Neodiprion lecontei: one gene and its partner. The protein of the gene in region 2 purifies or fractionates together with the protein of the main gene of each other region. This does not show direct contact. Links are inferred from orthologs where the notes say so. Each region holds a gene or a part of one and is shown on either strand. Other genes may lie near its edges.

Evidence for each region. The genes of interacting proteins can lie anywhere in the genome.
Region 1: the proteins of cell division control protein 45 homolog (region 2) and DNA replication licensing factor MCM4 purify together in Drosophila melanogaster (affinity purification with western blotting; 4 studies listed by BioGRID, with this or other methods). This does not show direct contact. The link is inferred for Neodiprion lecontei from reciprocal best matches to the Drosophila melanogaster genes Cdc45 and dpa.

The regions. Positions count from the first base shown.
Region 1 is NC_060264.1:8,092,226-8,099,816, reverse strand, and holds DNA replication licensing factor MCM4, read right to left. Parts: upstream 5,226-7,591; 5' UTR 5,079-5,225; coding exon 4,919-5,078; intron 4,680-4,918; coding exon 4,354-4,679; intron 4,136-4,353; coding exon 3,240-4,135; intron 3,177-3,239; coding exon 2,854-3,176; intron 2,755-2,853; coding exon 2,477-2,754; intron 2,389-2,476; coding exon 1,988-2,388; intron 1,900-1,987; coding exon 1,689-1,899; intron 1,369-1,688; coding exon 1,273-1,368; 3' UTR 787-1,272; downstream 1-786. UniProt on the Drosophila melanogaster protein: Acts as a component of the Mcm2-7 complex (Mcm complex) which is the putative replicative helicase essential for 'once per cell cycle' DNA replication initiation and elongation in eukaryotic cells.
Region 2 is NC_060262.1:27,230,564-27,238,997, forward strand, and holds cell division control protein 45 homolog, read right to left. Parts: upstream 6,455-8,434; 5' UTR 6,081-6,454; coding exon 6,030-6,080; intron 5,199-6,029; coding exon 5,046-5,198; intron 4,630-5,045; coding exon 4,420-4,629; intron 3,980-4,419; coding exon 3,797-3,979; intron 3,693-3,796; coding exon 3,463-3,692; intron 3,349-3,462; coding exon 3,012-3,348; intron 2,935-3,011; coding exon 2,540-2,934; intron 2,267-2,539; coding exon 2,190-2,266; intron 2,123-2,189; coding exon 2,055-2,122; 3' UTR 1,172-2,054; downstream 1-1,171. Other genes in the region: probable 18S rRNA (guanine-N(7))-methyltransferase, read left to right, coding at 6,869-6,907, 6,997-7,034, 7,123-7,301, 7,482-7,908, 8,075-8,219.

The sequences.
Region 1 (7,591 bases), on a different chromosome or scaffold from region 2:
TTATTAAATTTATACTTATGTACATTTTTAACCAATAATCTTTACACCCTGATCTTATTTATACATATTTACGCTTCATTTAAATTTTTTACTGTCGAATGAATAACCGATGAATGTGATTGTGATTTTAAAAAATTTCTTAACAAATGTCTGAATAAAAAAAAAAACTATAAATTTTATTTGCAAATTATCTCATGGATTTTATTTATTCACTTTTCCATATTTAAAGTGAAATATTAGTTTTTAAGAATAGAATCCTCTGCGGCTGTGTGTGTCTGTGCGTGTGCGATAATTTTTTTATCCAACGATATCTGCAGAACGAATGGATAGATTTGGATGATTTTGGAGTCAATCAACGGAGCTTTTCTTAACTTAGAACTGATTAGATTTTGAATATTATTGGTCATGTAGCTTTCCAGTTATTTGAATAAAAAATTAAAACATTTCTTTTGTCAATGTTTGATGGGCTCGAATGGAAGTTCTTATGATGACCCCATCAAGATCACGCACATTACCCGCTTGATTTTATTTTTCATGACTATTCAGCTACAGAAAGATAAGAACACGAATGAGAGCTACAGTTCGTGTAATTATAGGTATAAGGCAAGATGATGTATGGAGATGGTCAAAATACAAAATACAATTTGATAAGATTGGCGATAATTGATATGGTAAGAAAATCAAATATGGGCGGAACACAACAGGAAAATGACTATGATTTCAAGGTAAATGAGGTAAATTAGATGAAAAAAGACGAATTTTTAAAAGTTTTATTGAAAAATAACCATGTTAATTATAATAATGGTTTTAGAAATAAAAAATTAATAATCTAAGATGCATCTCAAACGGGGAAATTACGTCTTGGAAATGCGAAAATCCGTAAGGCATAGATATTTGTTTAGGCACCAATTTCGGGCTGTTTTCACAACGTAGCATTACAGAAAAAGACTTAAGAGGAGGAAATATAAACAGAACATTTCCGCTGCTTGGTCTCTTTGGTAAAAAATTTGTTTGTATAGGATATTTTCGTTTTGTATTGTAAGAAGGGGTAGTAAAAATTTTCTACCACTGATTCTCGTGAAAAAATAAATAAGGAATATTGTTCTCTGGATTTCATTTTCAGCTGGTCGAAAAGATGGAATATTCAAGCGCGAACTTTTATGTAATTATTGTCATAGTGGCAGTGCCTTGTGAACGCTTATTTGTCTTATACAATTTATCAAATTCATCCGAAATATCTGACAGAGCTTGTTTGGAAATAATATCAAACTTTCAGCAGACTCTGATGGTATTTTTACCGATAACAATAATAAAACCGTCATCTTGTAGCTCCTTCAGTGAATCTTCAAACATCTCACGTGTTATCAGCTGAAATAATAGTTTTCAGTCATATTTTTTTCATTGACAATTGCGATGCCATATTCGATAATTTATTTAAAAATGACGTAATGAATTTACGGACGTTAATTTCTTTGTAGGTATTCCTTTTGAAATTAACACTGTTCGATGTGTCATTTATTTACTTAATAACTTGTTAATGCTAGATTTTTGACGTGCAATTAATCTTCTATGTGATATGAAAATATGTGTCTAATGCCTGCCATACCTAGATATGTGCTGCAATTTGACAACTGTAGCAATTCCCAGGTATAACCGATGTTTAAAATAAAATAAATATGATTACTCACGATCTGAGACGCCTCTTTAATCTCAGTGAAAATCTTTTGGTAATTCAAAGTTGGAATCTTCCCCTTGCTTTCGATCAAGCTACGTATCGCTTGTGTTAGTTCCATTCTTCGTTTCCTAGCAGCTGCTGACAAGCCAGTTGTCAGAATGCCAACATCAATCTTCCCACTCAATGGATCTGTCGCCGACTGCTTTAGAGCCTCGCGATGCAGTCTAAAACAAGAAAAAAAAAAATCCAAGGAATCACGTGATGAAGGGTTGACCATCTTTATCACGTTTGAGTTTCAGCTTCTTTACGCACCTCCAGGCCTCTTCAACATCTTCCACCACAACTAAGCTGCTTAGTCGTATTTTTGCATGTGCTTCCGCTAATCTTATAAGGGATTCCAGTTGCCTTGGATATGCACTGATCTGTCCTCTGCCGCTACCAACTTTTCTCATGTCTACATACGCCTGAACTAATCTTTGCTGAGATTCTTCGCTCATAACTGGATGCACGTGTTCTTTGGCATATGCTATGTAGTCGCGTAAAATGCTCATATCAATAAGATCATCTTCAACCTCAGGTTTGGCTTTGTAATACAGAGAGACCAAATGGCGAGCAAGCCGTTTATCGAATAGTTCGTCTTGAGGGTCAAGCATGAGAAAAATTAGGTCGAATCGAGACATCAGGGTATGAGGCAACATAACATTCTCAATCACCTGTAAGATAAATTTAATAAATTATGTTCAGATGGAATATAATATTGAATTCCCAATGGACAGCACAGGTATGATGTACTATCAGTACCGTTTTATTCTTATTCCATTGGGATTCGCAGGGATTAGCTGCCGCCAAAATGCTGGTTCTTGCATTTAATTGACAAATAATGCCAGCCTTGGCAATACTCAAAGTTTGCTGTTCCATGACCTCGTGCAATACAGATCGCGTAGCATCGTTCATTTTATCAAATTCGTCAATGCAGCATATACCGTTGTCGGCCAAAACCAAAGCTCCTGTTTGCAGTACAAGCTGTCGTGTTTCTGGATCTTTTGTGACGTAGGCAGTTAGACCCACAGCACTGGAACCTTGAAGCATAAACAAAAACATTACTCGTATAAGAATCGAATAAAAACGCTAAATCACCATCGGTGGAAATATTAAAATGACCATAAAGTGAAACGTACCTTTGCCACTGGTATATTGCGATCTTGGTACCAAATTGTAGATGTACTGAAGCAACTGGGATTTACTGGTACCAGGATCTCCGCATAGCAAGATATTTATTTCAGCACGAAAATGATTTCTGCCTGAAGAAGTGTGGGTCTTCTTTGTCCCTCCAAACAGTTGCAATAATATTCCTTTCTTTATATCTTCGTTCTCATAGATACTCGGTGCTATGTTACGCGCCAATCGTTCATAGACATCCTCCTTCTGGGATAACAATTGTAGCAATTCAAGTCTCTCAGGCGGGAATGCATGATCTTTGCCATCCTCTTGATCGTAGAGCCTGAAAGCAATAATGAGAAAATATACTGCAAATATTCTTATCATCAAATTCAAATGTGCATACCTTTTAGAATCCTGCTTTCTGAAGTGAACGACGTCTATATGAGTTTTGTACACGGCGCGAACATTACTCTGTTTGAAGCTAACTTGGAGAGGAATCGCACGATATATTCCTGTAACAGCAACTCGATCTCCTGGTTGAACAGCGTCGACCAGATCATTGTGAGCAAATACAACGATAGTGTGCGGTGTTTGACCAGCAGGCATGTCATCAGGAGATTCTTGAAGTTTGACCATTTGTTTGTCAGAGAAGTGGCTCCTATTGTGAATCAGCCGGAAGCAATGATTAGTATTACAGTGAGTGCACAGAGTTGGTTCAGCAATTCGACCTCGGTCAATTTCTACCAAAGTTGTGAAAGAACAGACTGTACATTTGAAGAAAGCCTCTCGCATTTCTGGTATCAAGTTTGAAGTTCTGCTCACCATCCCTGATATTGTAATCAACTTATCAATATCTTCGGGATTTAAACCGCGCATGTTTTTAGTCTTAGCTGCATTGAATGGTCGGACCTGTATTTGATGGTCCAGTACTGCAGCTGGGTACTTTTCAAAAAACATTTCATTCGCAGCCATGTCTAGAGTGGGTATAACTTCTTGTGGGTAACAAATCAGTTGTCTGTACAATTGCTCATCAAAACTTTCTAAGTGAGCGCAGTTTATGTTCAAGTATGGCTCCTCTAAAGTATGGATTTCGTCAAGTTTTTGGAGGTATAGTGGCTCGGCAAGATTCATGTTCTCTGGTAACTCATCATTTTCAGCTTCAGGGTCAATAAACCGCCTAACAAAACGTTTAAATTGATCCTTGCATCTGTTTACCACGACGTTTGTCCCCCAAATCACGAGCTGCGGACCTGCATTCTCACTCTCAGACGATCCAGGTATGAATGGTTCCTCTGGTATCTGTAACATTGAGAGAAATCTAGTGAATTTGAATTTGGGAGAAAATATTCTGGCAAAGCTCTGACACCAATGGTAACGTGCACATTAAACCGTTAAAATTATAATCGATGTATGTTGAAATGGAATGTCGCGTTTGATACTGTTGATTGTGAAACATATCTGCCAAAGACAGAAAAAATTCAATTAATAAATTATAAACCATAAAGATAGTTATTTACCGGTTCGCCAAGGTTGACCTGCCTGATTCGTTTGTCTGTTCTGATATCCGGTCTCTGTCTAATCGGAGTACCTCTAACGCCACTTCTAGGGGTTCGTATCGATCCCAAGGAGCTAGGTGTCCCGTAATACAAAGGCGAAGACAAATCTATCTCACTCATTCCAACAGCTAAAGGACTGGTCATTTGTACTCCCTGAGTCGGCGATGAGGCAGGTACAGAGGATGTACCTTCGGAAGAAGGGGCAATCGTATCTCGAGTACCATGTGTTCCCCATCTTAGCGGAGTTTCAGCCGTTGGATTATTTTTCTCTCTATTGGGTGTACGACCTACAAAGATAAGAAGCATTCAGAGGTATTTTATTCAATTTCTTTTACATATTGTTAATTAAAATTTCAAGGTGGAACAAAATGCTGGGTAGGCATACAAAGGAAAATTAAGTATTACGGAAGGAAAATAAAACCGACTTGAGTGAGAGTAATAGTGAAGTACCAATATGATGCGACTCGCTTGTGTTATCTTATTCATACAGGTAAACGAGTAAAACAAGGTGAAAACGTTTACTTACCCTGTTTACTCGGTGTACGGTTTTTGCTCGGCGTGCTTTTAACGGATGGAGTGCCACTCGGTGTTGGAGTTTTTCGCTGACGACTTGGTGTTCCATTAGTCGAGGAACTATCAGCGTCTTTCCTATTCGGAGTCTGGGGCCTTTTCATTGGACTTGACATGTTGCTTATGGTAGTGTTACTGGGGTCAATTAAATAGAAATTAACTATTACATCGGATAAAATAGAGAATTATCTCACACTTTCAACGCCGGTAGTAGAATACGAGGCTAGCGACGGCCATACTGGATACCATTTAATTGCGCGGGAAAAGCAAACGTGCAGGATCACGTGTGTGATATCGATAGTCGATTGTATCGAATGCGACGCGGAATATTATGCGAATTTTAATTTTCACCTATTACACGAGTGTACGTAACTGGCATTTAAAACAGAATTTATTTTCAATAATTAGTAGGTACATAAAAATGAATAATTATTACCTTAAGGTGAAAGGTGAAAAGCATAGAAAAAAAGTGTATTCTTCTAAAAACTTATCTAACGTAAGTGTAATTTACTTCACTCAGAAGTAAAACGTATTTTATATGCAGCGCAACAAGAGGCAGGTTTTAGTTACTGATTTCTAATTTTTTATATTTTTTTCTTTTTACACAAGTATCATAGTTTAGTAATTAATAGAAGATACGAGTAATTATGAGATCAAAATGTAATATAGAATATTATATAATTTCGACGCATTATTCAGGCTGACAGACAAAAATAAATTGTGATAGTATTACAGCCTAAAATTTTAATTAATTGAACTGCAGGCAGTACATGTATTGACATTATACATATATATACATATGCATGTGAGTGTGTCTGTATATAAAATATAATTCTAATTAATAAGTTGTCATTGAATGTACGAATGATAGGCAATGCATAAATTTACCATCAAAAGTTTAAGAATTCATTATTTTCATAATAGTATATTGGTGAAAAAATTGAACTGAACCTAGTTCGCTTCAATGTATACACATAGTTATTGTTAATTGTACAGATTTCTATTGACTGTAAATTTAGTCTAAAATTAAAGTTGAAATTACAATTCAGCATGGTAAAATACTATTACAACAACATAGTCACAGATAATATTTAACAATATAAAGTAATCCATTGGTTACGGCGATGAATAGCAGCTTAAGAATATTTTTTCAAGTGAACTCTCAAAAGAGCAAACATGATTGAGATGATTATTCTCTAGTCTCTCAGATACCACAAATGTGAGGGTAGTGCAGAAATCTGTTCTGTCGAAATTAAAACAGTTTTACTGATAAAAAAAAAAAAAAAAAACAAAAAACAAAAAAAACGAATGAAACAATTTAACATGATTAGTCTTGTAACCTATCCTAAAAAAAAGTATATATAAGATATACATACATGAATGTATATATATACTTATACATTTATCACCCGAATCGCAACGATATAACTACCCCGAGAACCATATACTATACTTTCTCTGTATCGCAGCTTTAGTGAAATGGTAACAAAACCAAGGGTTCACTGTATACCAATAACAACAAATACATGTTGTCCAAAGTTATTTTGATTTTCAAATTCACGTAAACATGTTCAAGAAATGAATGAAGTAACGCTGTGTAAACGTTGATCACACTTGAAAAGAAAAAAATAATGATAATAATAATAATAATAATAATAAAATGTTTTCCTTTAATAAGATATACACACTTGGTACAATGCTGCTGTTATGAACGCAAACTTTTCTTGCAACCAGATAAAATATTCAGTCAAAGTATCTTAATTTGTACAAGGGTATATAAATGGTTTTTAAACGAATTTGAGTTATTTAAAAATACATTCATTGAATTAAGTTGGATATTAGGTGGAATCCATCTTTTACTATTTTAATAAATTAAGAAAAAAAATATATCGACTACCCAAATAGTCATACTGTTCACTTTGTACCATTACTCAAACATTGATGTTAAATTGAACACAGAAGAAAACAAGAAACGAGAAAAGAACAGATCTTAATATTAAACACTCTGCATTATTATTCCGCATTCGAAACATGACACATTATTATGCGTGGAAAAGAGTTCCCATTCGAGTAAATACAAAGTTTATGAAACACGAATCGTTGTCAAACGTTCAAACTGTGATCCTTATCATTTTTTTCCCCAGATATCACAAATTTTCAGTCATGAAATTGTCTATTTACAAGAATCATAAGCCGGCCCGCTGGAGGCAAATATTACATAAGTATCAGCTTACTGGCAGCGAAACTTTGCAATTGAATATAACTTTCGATACAAACCATTTCCAACATGCATGTTTACGGCTAGCATGAATGTGCAGCACTTGCTCGATACGTAACATAATTGAGCAAAGAGCAAAAACAACTCTCCGATATTCTTTCCTGTGACAATCGCATGTAATATTCAATTATATTTTTATAATTAAACATACTTTTAACGGTTATTCGTGTCTGTTGATTGCTTTTACACAAAATATAACGCATAGACTACATTAAGCTACATTCTGCTTGATGCTGGTTATATATTACACTACCTCGTAAGTCACAATGTAGCAACACGCCTTATATGAGTGTAATGTGATATCAGTGTGACGAAACATATCGAGTGTATTACAACTCTTGGTGTTCGTTG
Region 2 (8,434 bases):
TTCGCGCAGTTAGGTCAGAACGGGTAAGAACCGCGAATGACGAAATTGACAATTTGTGTCTCCAATACGAAAGAAGTTTTATTCCACTCGAATTCATTATCGTCGGTGTGAATAAAATTGCTAAACATTTTTTACAACAGCTTTTTCTCTTTTGCCAAATTTTATTTCAAACTCTACGGCGCATTCATTCTAGAGTTGTGAAAATAGCAGTGTAAAAGTAATGCATTGCTCATTACTTTGAACAATGTGTATGGGATACGTTATCCATTACAAATAAAAAAAATAATGTATAATGTATGAGTGCCTCATTACAAAAACAAAAAATAATGTGTAATGAATGCGTGAATAATTACAATTTTAAAAAAATAATTTATAATGGAGTGTATTTTATTGTAAATAGAATAACTGCTTCATCATTATTTTATTTTGTTAACTAAAAGTTTCTTCTAGGAAAATTCGATTTTCTTCTGTTTAAAGATCAGTACTTCACGCAGAAGAAAAACGTGCAATTTAGAAACTTGCACATTGCATTTTCATTGTTTTATTGCGCTGACAAAGTTTTCTCTATGAGAAAGCTATCACTTGAAAACCAACTTCATCACTCCACACTACGTATTTCTCGAAGTTCAACTCTTGACAAGTTGTAAGGGGGTGGAAAAGTTTATATAGAAAAACAAATCATTCAAAAAAAAAAATCTATTGAATACTCTCCAATAAAAATTACTTTTTTTTTCATTTGTAATTTGTAATGTTACTTATCAATTACATATTACTTTTTTAAATTTATAATGCAGCACACATCCGTTACACATTATGCAGTGTAATGTGTAATGAATATAGTAATGCATTATCAAAGTAATGTTCACAACTCTGATTCCTTCTTAGCAAAATTTTAAATGGTGCAGTTCTCTCACTGAGGGTAACGCATTCAACTATCGATTGTAGCTGCATGCTTCAGTTTCCGCGTTTTAGAATGTGCCAGTTACAAAATATGGGCACGTTGTATTCATAAAATATTTATGAATACTTCAAGGTGGTCTGGAATATACAGTTTGTGAATGAGCTGATGTTGATGAAACTTGCGAGTTTGCAATTTACTGTAGAAACCAGAGGTGTGATAACAAAAACGTATACAGCGTTTAAGTTGGGATTGACAACAAATATCTTCAACTCATTTTTAAAAAACGCATGTATTTATTCGGTTCACTTTTACTTATTGCGTAATGTCTGTATCAAATTATCATATTAATGTTCGACGGTTGACCATGACCCTAAGTTATAAATTGATGCTTACATTATCGTTAGAGCTAAGTCTAGTATCACTCTTAAAATCATTCTATGTACAATAAAGAGTTTATTATTCATTCGAACACATCCGTGGCTAAACTTCAGAGTGACGTGACTCCTGTACCCAAGCACACAAGAGATGCCCGTTTACGGCGTAGCCACCGGAATCAAATACTCAAGAGTATATTTTACGAATTCAATATTCTCATTCCATTTTATACAAAGCTAATAAATCTGCTTTACTAAAGTTTACTTCACATATGGTGAACTGACAAAAAATTAGTGAGACTCATAAGTAAACGAATTAGTGACAGTAACTTATAGTAGTTCGATCGCATCCTAATTGTTGGAAAAAATTCGTCAAACAAGTCGTAAAATAAAACAAGACTTTTTGAAGTCCCTTATTAACGATTCAATCAAGAAATTTGATATTCTGCAAATCCGTGTATTGATGACCAGTACATTGAAACTGTCAAATATTACCTGAATGCTTAAAATTTGTAAAGGAAATCTAGTTATAGGTAATGTGAAATTAGATTAATATGTCAAATAAATTAAACTACAGATTCGATTAAAATAAAGTTAAAGCTTGTTACGTCGCTGGTTCTAAAATATGTCTGGGTTTAGAAATGTTGATCATAATACCCATAGTTGCATTGTTATACATTGCTAATCACCTGTGAGCAGGTGATCTGAATTGTATAGGTAGATTGATATCCACTACAATAAAAACTATAAACTAAATTTTAATATTTCTACTTAACTATTTATATAATCAGGAGCGCTGTCAATGCATCAAAGAACTTTGGCCGCTCTTGAATCTTCAGTCTTATTACTGGTAAACATGAAAATAACAATATTTGTAAATATTAAATAAAAGTTTTTCAAGTTTTATTACTCACTTGTTGTATCGAAGTAGTCCGCCTCTATATACGAATTGGTATTTTTAGCAGCTTGCTCGAATGCCCTTCCAAAGAGGCTAGTAATGTTAAATTCATGAGTCAGATAGTAATTCACATTTTTACAGCGACAAGTTTACGTTGCGAGGATTTTCATAATGCAAGATTACGTTAGACACAAATTTTTTTTACTTTACATATTCAGTTGCCAATTAATCATATACTTTGAATATATAATTTTTGAGAATTTTCTTTGTTTGCAATTCTGCGTGTGAATATGCATGCGGACTGTGCGGTTTGTGATTTGTTGAAGAGTCATTTTGCGAAAAATTGACATGCAAACGTTATCTCACCTTCTAGGTTGATCTTCGCATAGTGGTGGTATACCAACAACGAGGCAAGTACCGTCTTCTTCGCTGAAAGGTGCAGTAGCAATCAGTGGCCACTTAGTTGCGTTCCTGTATCTTGATGTTTCTACGTATGCTTTTAGTGTAAACTGTGCCAACATGATCAATGCGTGCTCATGTGCAAATAATCGAGTATCTAACGTGCCATCTTGGATAACAATATAAAGAAATGGACCTGCATTCTTTACTTGTTTCATTTCTAAGATGCCTTGAGCTGTCTTATAAATGTTGCTAAGCATTAGTTTTGCCTTTTCTATGCCTCTTTCTACAACATCTTTCTTCTTGCGAGATAGACAGTCCAAAGCATCTAAAAAGCAGTGTTGTGGTAATCTTTCTTTTGTCTGCAAAGAAACAAGTTTGTCGGTTTGTAGTTTGAAAGTGTTGGAAATATGGTTCATGGAAACTTATCAAAACCCACCGTGGACTCAAGTAAGGCCAGCATAGAGTATACCACGTCTGAGGCACAGTATTTAAATCTATATCCGTACTGCAGGGTAAAACTAGCACCAACAATGCTGTCAACATTGTATTTCGATGCTAATTTTTCAATCATCTGTTTAAACTCGTGTCGTAAGCTGAGATCCATGGCTGAAAATCGTTGCTTAGATTGTGCCAGAGGTAAACCCATCTCAGCCAGGAGTTCCCTAAGGCGATTTTCACCTCTTAAAGACCATAAGCGAAGAGAAACCGCCGTTGGTACGGAATGTTTTAGACTGGCTTCAACTGTCCAATGACGATACAGAGCCAACTGAAGGCTGTTAAATGTTACTAAGGAATTTACTAGTCTTGATATTCACTATTAATTATTTCTTCTGTATTCTTATGAAACTACAAAATGTATATAACATGCACGAATTTATGAAGGATACTCCTTGTCGTAAGTAAGTTTGACTGCTGTGGCGTGTTGCTTTTCACTGTCCGTAACTCTATGACTTAGTCTCGAAACGTGACTCTGGAGATTTCCTGTTTCTAAAACACTAACCCTGGATTCAACTTTTCCAAGAATTGCTTGTTCTGTAGCTCCTATAATCCCCCACCACGCCACGTCCAACGTATCTCGTGAGAGTTTCCATGCTAACTCATAGATTATCACAGCACTCTAAGGGTAAGCCATACATTAAAGCCTACGTTTTTTGAAACTCCCTAGTTAGTACAGCCATGTTTACAGATAAGTATTTAGATAAATTATTTGTTATTTCATACCGATCGACCATAGTAGCTGTATTGTGTGTAATTAAACATAATTTGTGTTCTACTCGCATCCCACAACCTTCGATTTCTTCGTTTTTCAATTTCTTCTTCATTCAATCGCCGACGTTTCGATAGCCTACTTTCTGCCGCCACACTCGAATCATCTTCATCTGTGTCTTCTTCTTCTTCATCAGACTGAATAGTGAAGCAAGTTCAGAATTGAAAAGAGGGCAATTATTAGTGCAAGCACTGTCAACTCCCATATGAGTTTGAAGTTGGTAATGTTAATGTAATGAAACATGAAGTAAAAATCATCACTTTGTAAATAATGCAACTGCAATTGCAAAGTAAATATGTTCTACTTCATTCCAATAGATGAAATGATAATTCCGTCTGAAAATTATCTGTTACATTACCGCTATCAGCTTCAACCTGTTACCCCTATTCTTAGCAGAATGTTCTCAACAAAACTACCATAATTGATGTTGTATTTATAAAATCCATCAAACAAATTATTTTATATAATAAAGTAACAACAAATATTTTTAAAAAGCTTCATATAATCTGTACGATAAATCTTTATTAAGCTTGATAAGTTTACGAGAAATCTATTATATAGGTTAAATGATACTTACAGAATTATCTCTAAAGACCTCGGTATATTCTGGTATCTTTTCTTCATTGTCAGGCTGACCTAGGATTCTGACTTGACTCTCTGAATAGACGTTGCATAAATCGTAAGGTCTATGACTGTCGAGAATGTAAAATACCACACTTTCATCTGGCTGTAGAAGTTCCACAATATCCAATGTTCCACCACAATTTACTAATATTACGTATTTCACCTAATACAGTAAAATATATTAATAAAATATAAACATCTATAAGTATTCTCTTTATTGATCTGTCAAATTAGATGTATTTCAATAGTTTCATAGTGAATAATAAACCAAGGTTTAGAAAATATTAATTCCTGTGTTTTTTAATTTCAATGCGTAGATCTTGCAAAAGTTTCTATGTTTTTGTTCGTTCATGTTTGTGCCATCAATTACACCTCAAGATGAAAAAATACATAGAACTGAATATATACGACTTCATGATTATACAGAAATAAAGAAATAGAACAAAAACTAAGAACATTTACTGACGAAAAAACATTGGAATAAGTGATAATGAATCTTTTACTTTATTATCTGGACCGTGAACTTGAATATGTATTGTTCTACTGGTTATACAAAGGAGCAAAGATTTTGATGGTTACCTCTTCACAGTTCTCTTCATATGCTTGAACTAAGTCTTGAATTCCACGCACAGGAACCAGTGTATATACAATGTTGTCATTTTTTAAAAGGTACTGCAATATTTTGCATGCACATATTGCATCGATGTCAAAATTGACTAACAATAAGCATCTCTAAAAACAAAGGAAAATTCAATCGTTAGTATATAAACAATGGTTTAGCACAGTTGACTTTGTTGACGAATGGTTCTTAGGATAATGATTAATAAACCAAGAAATAAATAGAAATAAGTGCTAAGATCAAGGAAAATGCATTATCTATAGGAAACAAAATCCTTTAATAAATTTATATGAGAACATTTGGTTCAACGACATAAACAAACGGACACTACTGTAATAGTTGATCAAATGTGTTTTTCGAAAAAATTAGGTACTCTCGGTGATAAGGTTGCAAGTTAAGTATTGTCAAGATCGAAATTTCAAAACACTGAAATTTTTTAAGGCTGTGTGACTTAAGGAAAACATTCAAAAATCAGATGGCAACACCCAACACGTAAATAAGTATGCAAGGAAGAAAAAGGGCGCCTAAATCATATGGTTTACCACTCCGAATTTTCGTCTTTTTATATTCACACTACTCTTAAGCTAATAAAAATTATTATAAGGTCGAAGAGCGAGCACAAAACCGGAAACAAAAGTTACAAAATGATAAACGGAATAATGAAAAGAACGGGACTGTTTACTTACGTATTTACATCAGTTCTAACGACTCATTTTCTCATCATTTTCAAAGACAACGAGTGAAAGAAAGACACGATTAAATATCGAATAATTCGATACAAAGTAATTAAGTACAGTTAGAAAATTGGGTCAGATTTCAAAATACTTTATTGTTAATTAGTCGTGCAATTAGGCAACCTCAAAAATTACCTCTCCGAGAGAGAGGCACACGTAAACCATTCCTCTCGTCATTGTACAGAGATCAGTCGTAAAATATTCACTTACGTTTCCTAATATTTCGTTATAAAACTCAGTTTGAATATTGTCCAAAAACATGATGCCCTCGTCAAACACATGGAAGAGGAATTTTTATTTTACAATCGTCAAAACACCACCATGATCCGTTTGCAAACTGCGAATACCGCGAGGCGCGAACGACGACTGTGGGACTGCGCAGTGCGCAGCAGCTGCTCTCTGCTCTCGACGCGCTCCTGTGGTATTCACTGGCGTTTTACCAAGTTCCAGTATTTCAAACAATTTCAAAGTATGACTTTCAATCTTTGCGAAAGGAAATCACTACAGAATCATAGAGCTTATACTAGAATGCGTGAAAACACAAGGGAATCACAGTTCGATACCCTAATACGGTTCTGTGTATTGATTATAAGGTTGACTGACTCCCGCCGATAAAGAAGCTACCGAGTCGTTAACACGGCTTTTTGTGGCCAAGTCCACTTACTCGTAAAGTTCTGATTGAGAAAATTTCCCCAAGATGAACGTCTTTGAAATCTTCCGTCAACGCTGTAGAACGCCAACGTGTTTTCAAATGATTATTTTTTACGCTAAATTTCAGTCGCACGCATAAAGTACGGAAAAGTAATTACTCAGATTATCATACACTAATCTCTGGTGCAGCATAGGGCAAATGAATGGACAAACGCAGAGCGGAACTTATAAGACCACGTGACAATTGACCAATCAGTGCATTCGATAACTAAATCGCCCAAGCCAAGGAACGGCCTCGTGACCTCGCCAAGCACGTGTCATGTCAAAGTGGTGTATGATATTAATAACGTTATTCTCCGGAACTTGATTTGTCTCGAAAAGAAGCAACAGATTGGAACATGTCTAGACGACCAGAGCATTCGGCACCGCCTGAAGTGGTACGATTAGACATCCACTTCTACTATTCGTACGTCTGAATGACTTCTAGGTTACCTCAAATAATTGTTACGTTTTCTGTTATTTACAGTTCTACAATGAAGTGGAAGCACAGAAATACACACAGAAGTATGAGTCTATTTTTGCGACAATATATCCGGTGATACCGAATTTGCTCAAAACTTGTCTCGTTTGACTCCAAAACTTACATTTTTAGTTCTCGGATGATGGATATTCAAGTTCAAATGTGCGAACGAGCCATTGAATTGCTGTTGTTACCTGAAGACGAGCCATGCCTTCTTCTTGACATTGGTTGTGGATCTGGACTTAGCGGAAGCGTATTAGAAGACCAAGGCCACACGTGGATCGGTATCGATATATCTCCTGCAATGTTGAGTATGTTTCGACTATTACATTGGGTATTTTCTAAAACTGTCATATAATGTTCTTTTTGACTTAGTGTCGTAATTGTTCATTTTCATTTGGTGAATGTGGACGAAAATTATAAACAATGAAAAATTCCCAATGTTTGGAGACGCTTAGGATCAAATTGTAAATGTATTCTTGTTATTTCAGACGTAGCTAAAGAGCGGGAGGTTGAGGGTGATCTTATTCTGAGTGATATGGGACAAGGGGTGCCTTTTAGAGCTGGCAGCTTTGATGGAGCTGTGAGCATATCTGCGTTACAGTGGCTTTGCAATGCTGACAAAACTTCACACAATCCAGTCAAACGACTGTATCAGTTCTTTTCCTCCCTTTTCGCTTCATTAGGAAGGACAGCTAGAGCTGTCTTTCAATTTTATCCAGAAAATAGCGACCAGATTGAGTTGGTCACAACGCAAGCGACCAAAGCTGGGTTCTTTGGTGGTATAGTTGTTGATTTTCCAAACAGTACCAAGGCTAAAAAATTCTTTCTAGTTCTGATGACTGGTGGCGCAATGCCTCTTCCTAAGGCATTGGGAACTGGTGATGATAATACTGTAGTGAATTACGCGTCAAAAAGGTGTGTGGGAGTTCTAATACTATACCAAATTCAGAAACCATATTCAAACAAAGTTATAGAATTGTTAATAGCTTTTGGATTCCTTAATTTTTCTTTTGTTGAATAATTAATTTAATAATTTAATTGTATTGGGATACTGACGATTTCTTTTTCTTAAAAATTATAGGGAGCGAACTATGAAGGTACGCGGAAAGGCACTAAAGAAAAGTAGAGAGTGGATTTTGGAAAAGAAAGAGAGAAGACGGAGACAGGGCAAGGAGGTCAGAGATAATTCAAAATATACGGGCCGAAAGAGGAGTGGTCGGTTCTGAAATCTCTTAATTCTATCAGCTGTAACTACTCGTAATAATAGTTTATTTAAATTAACAAATATTCTCAGCACCTTGAGAAATAAAAAATCTAAATTCCTATGAAAATTCGTGTAATTAATTCCAATTCTATCGACAATATGACTTCTCAAATGTGCGAAATGAAATAACTCGGCAAAATTATAGGTAACATTAGGCTGAAACTATTGTTTTATTAG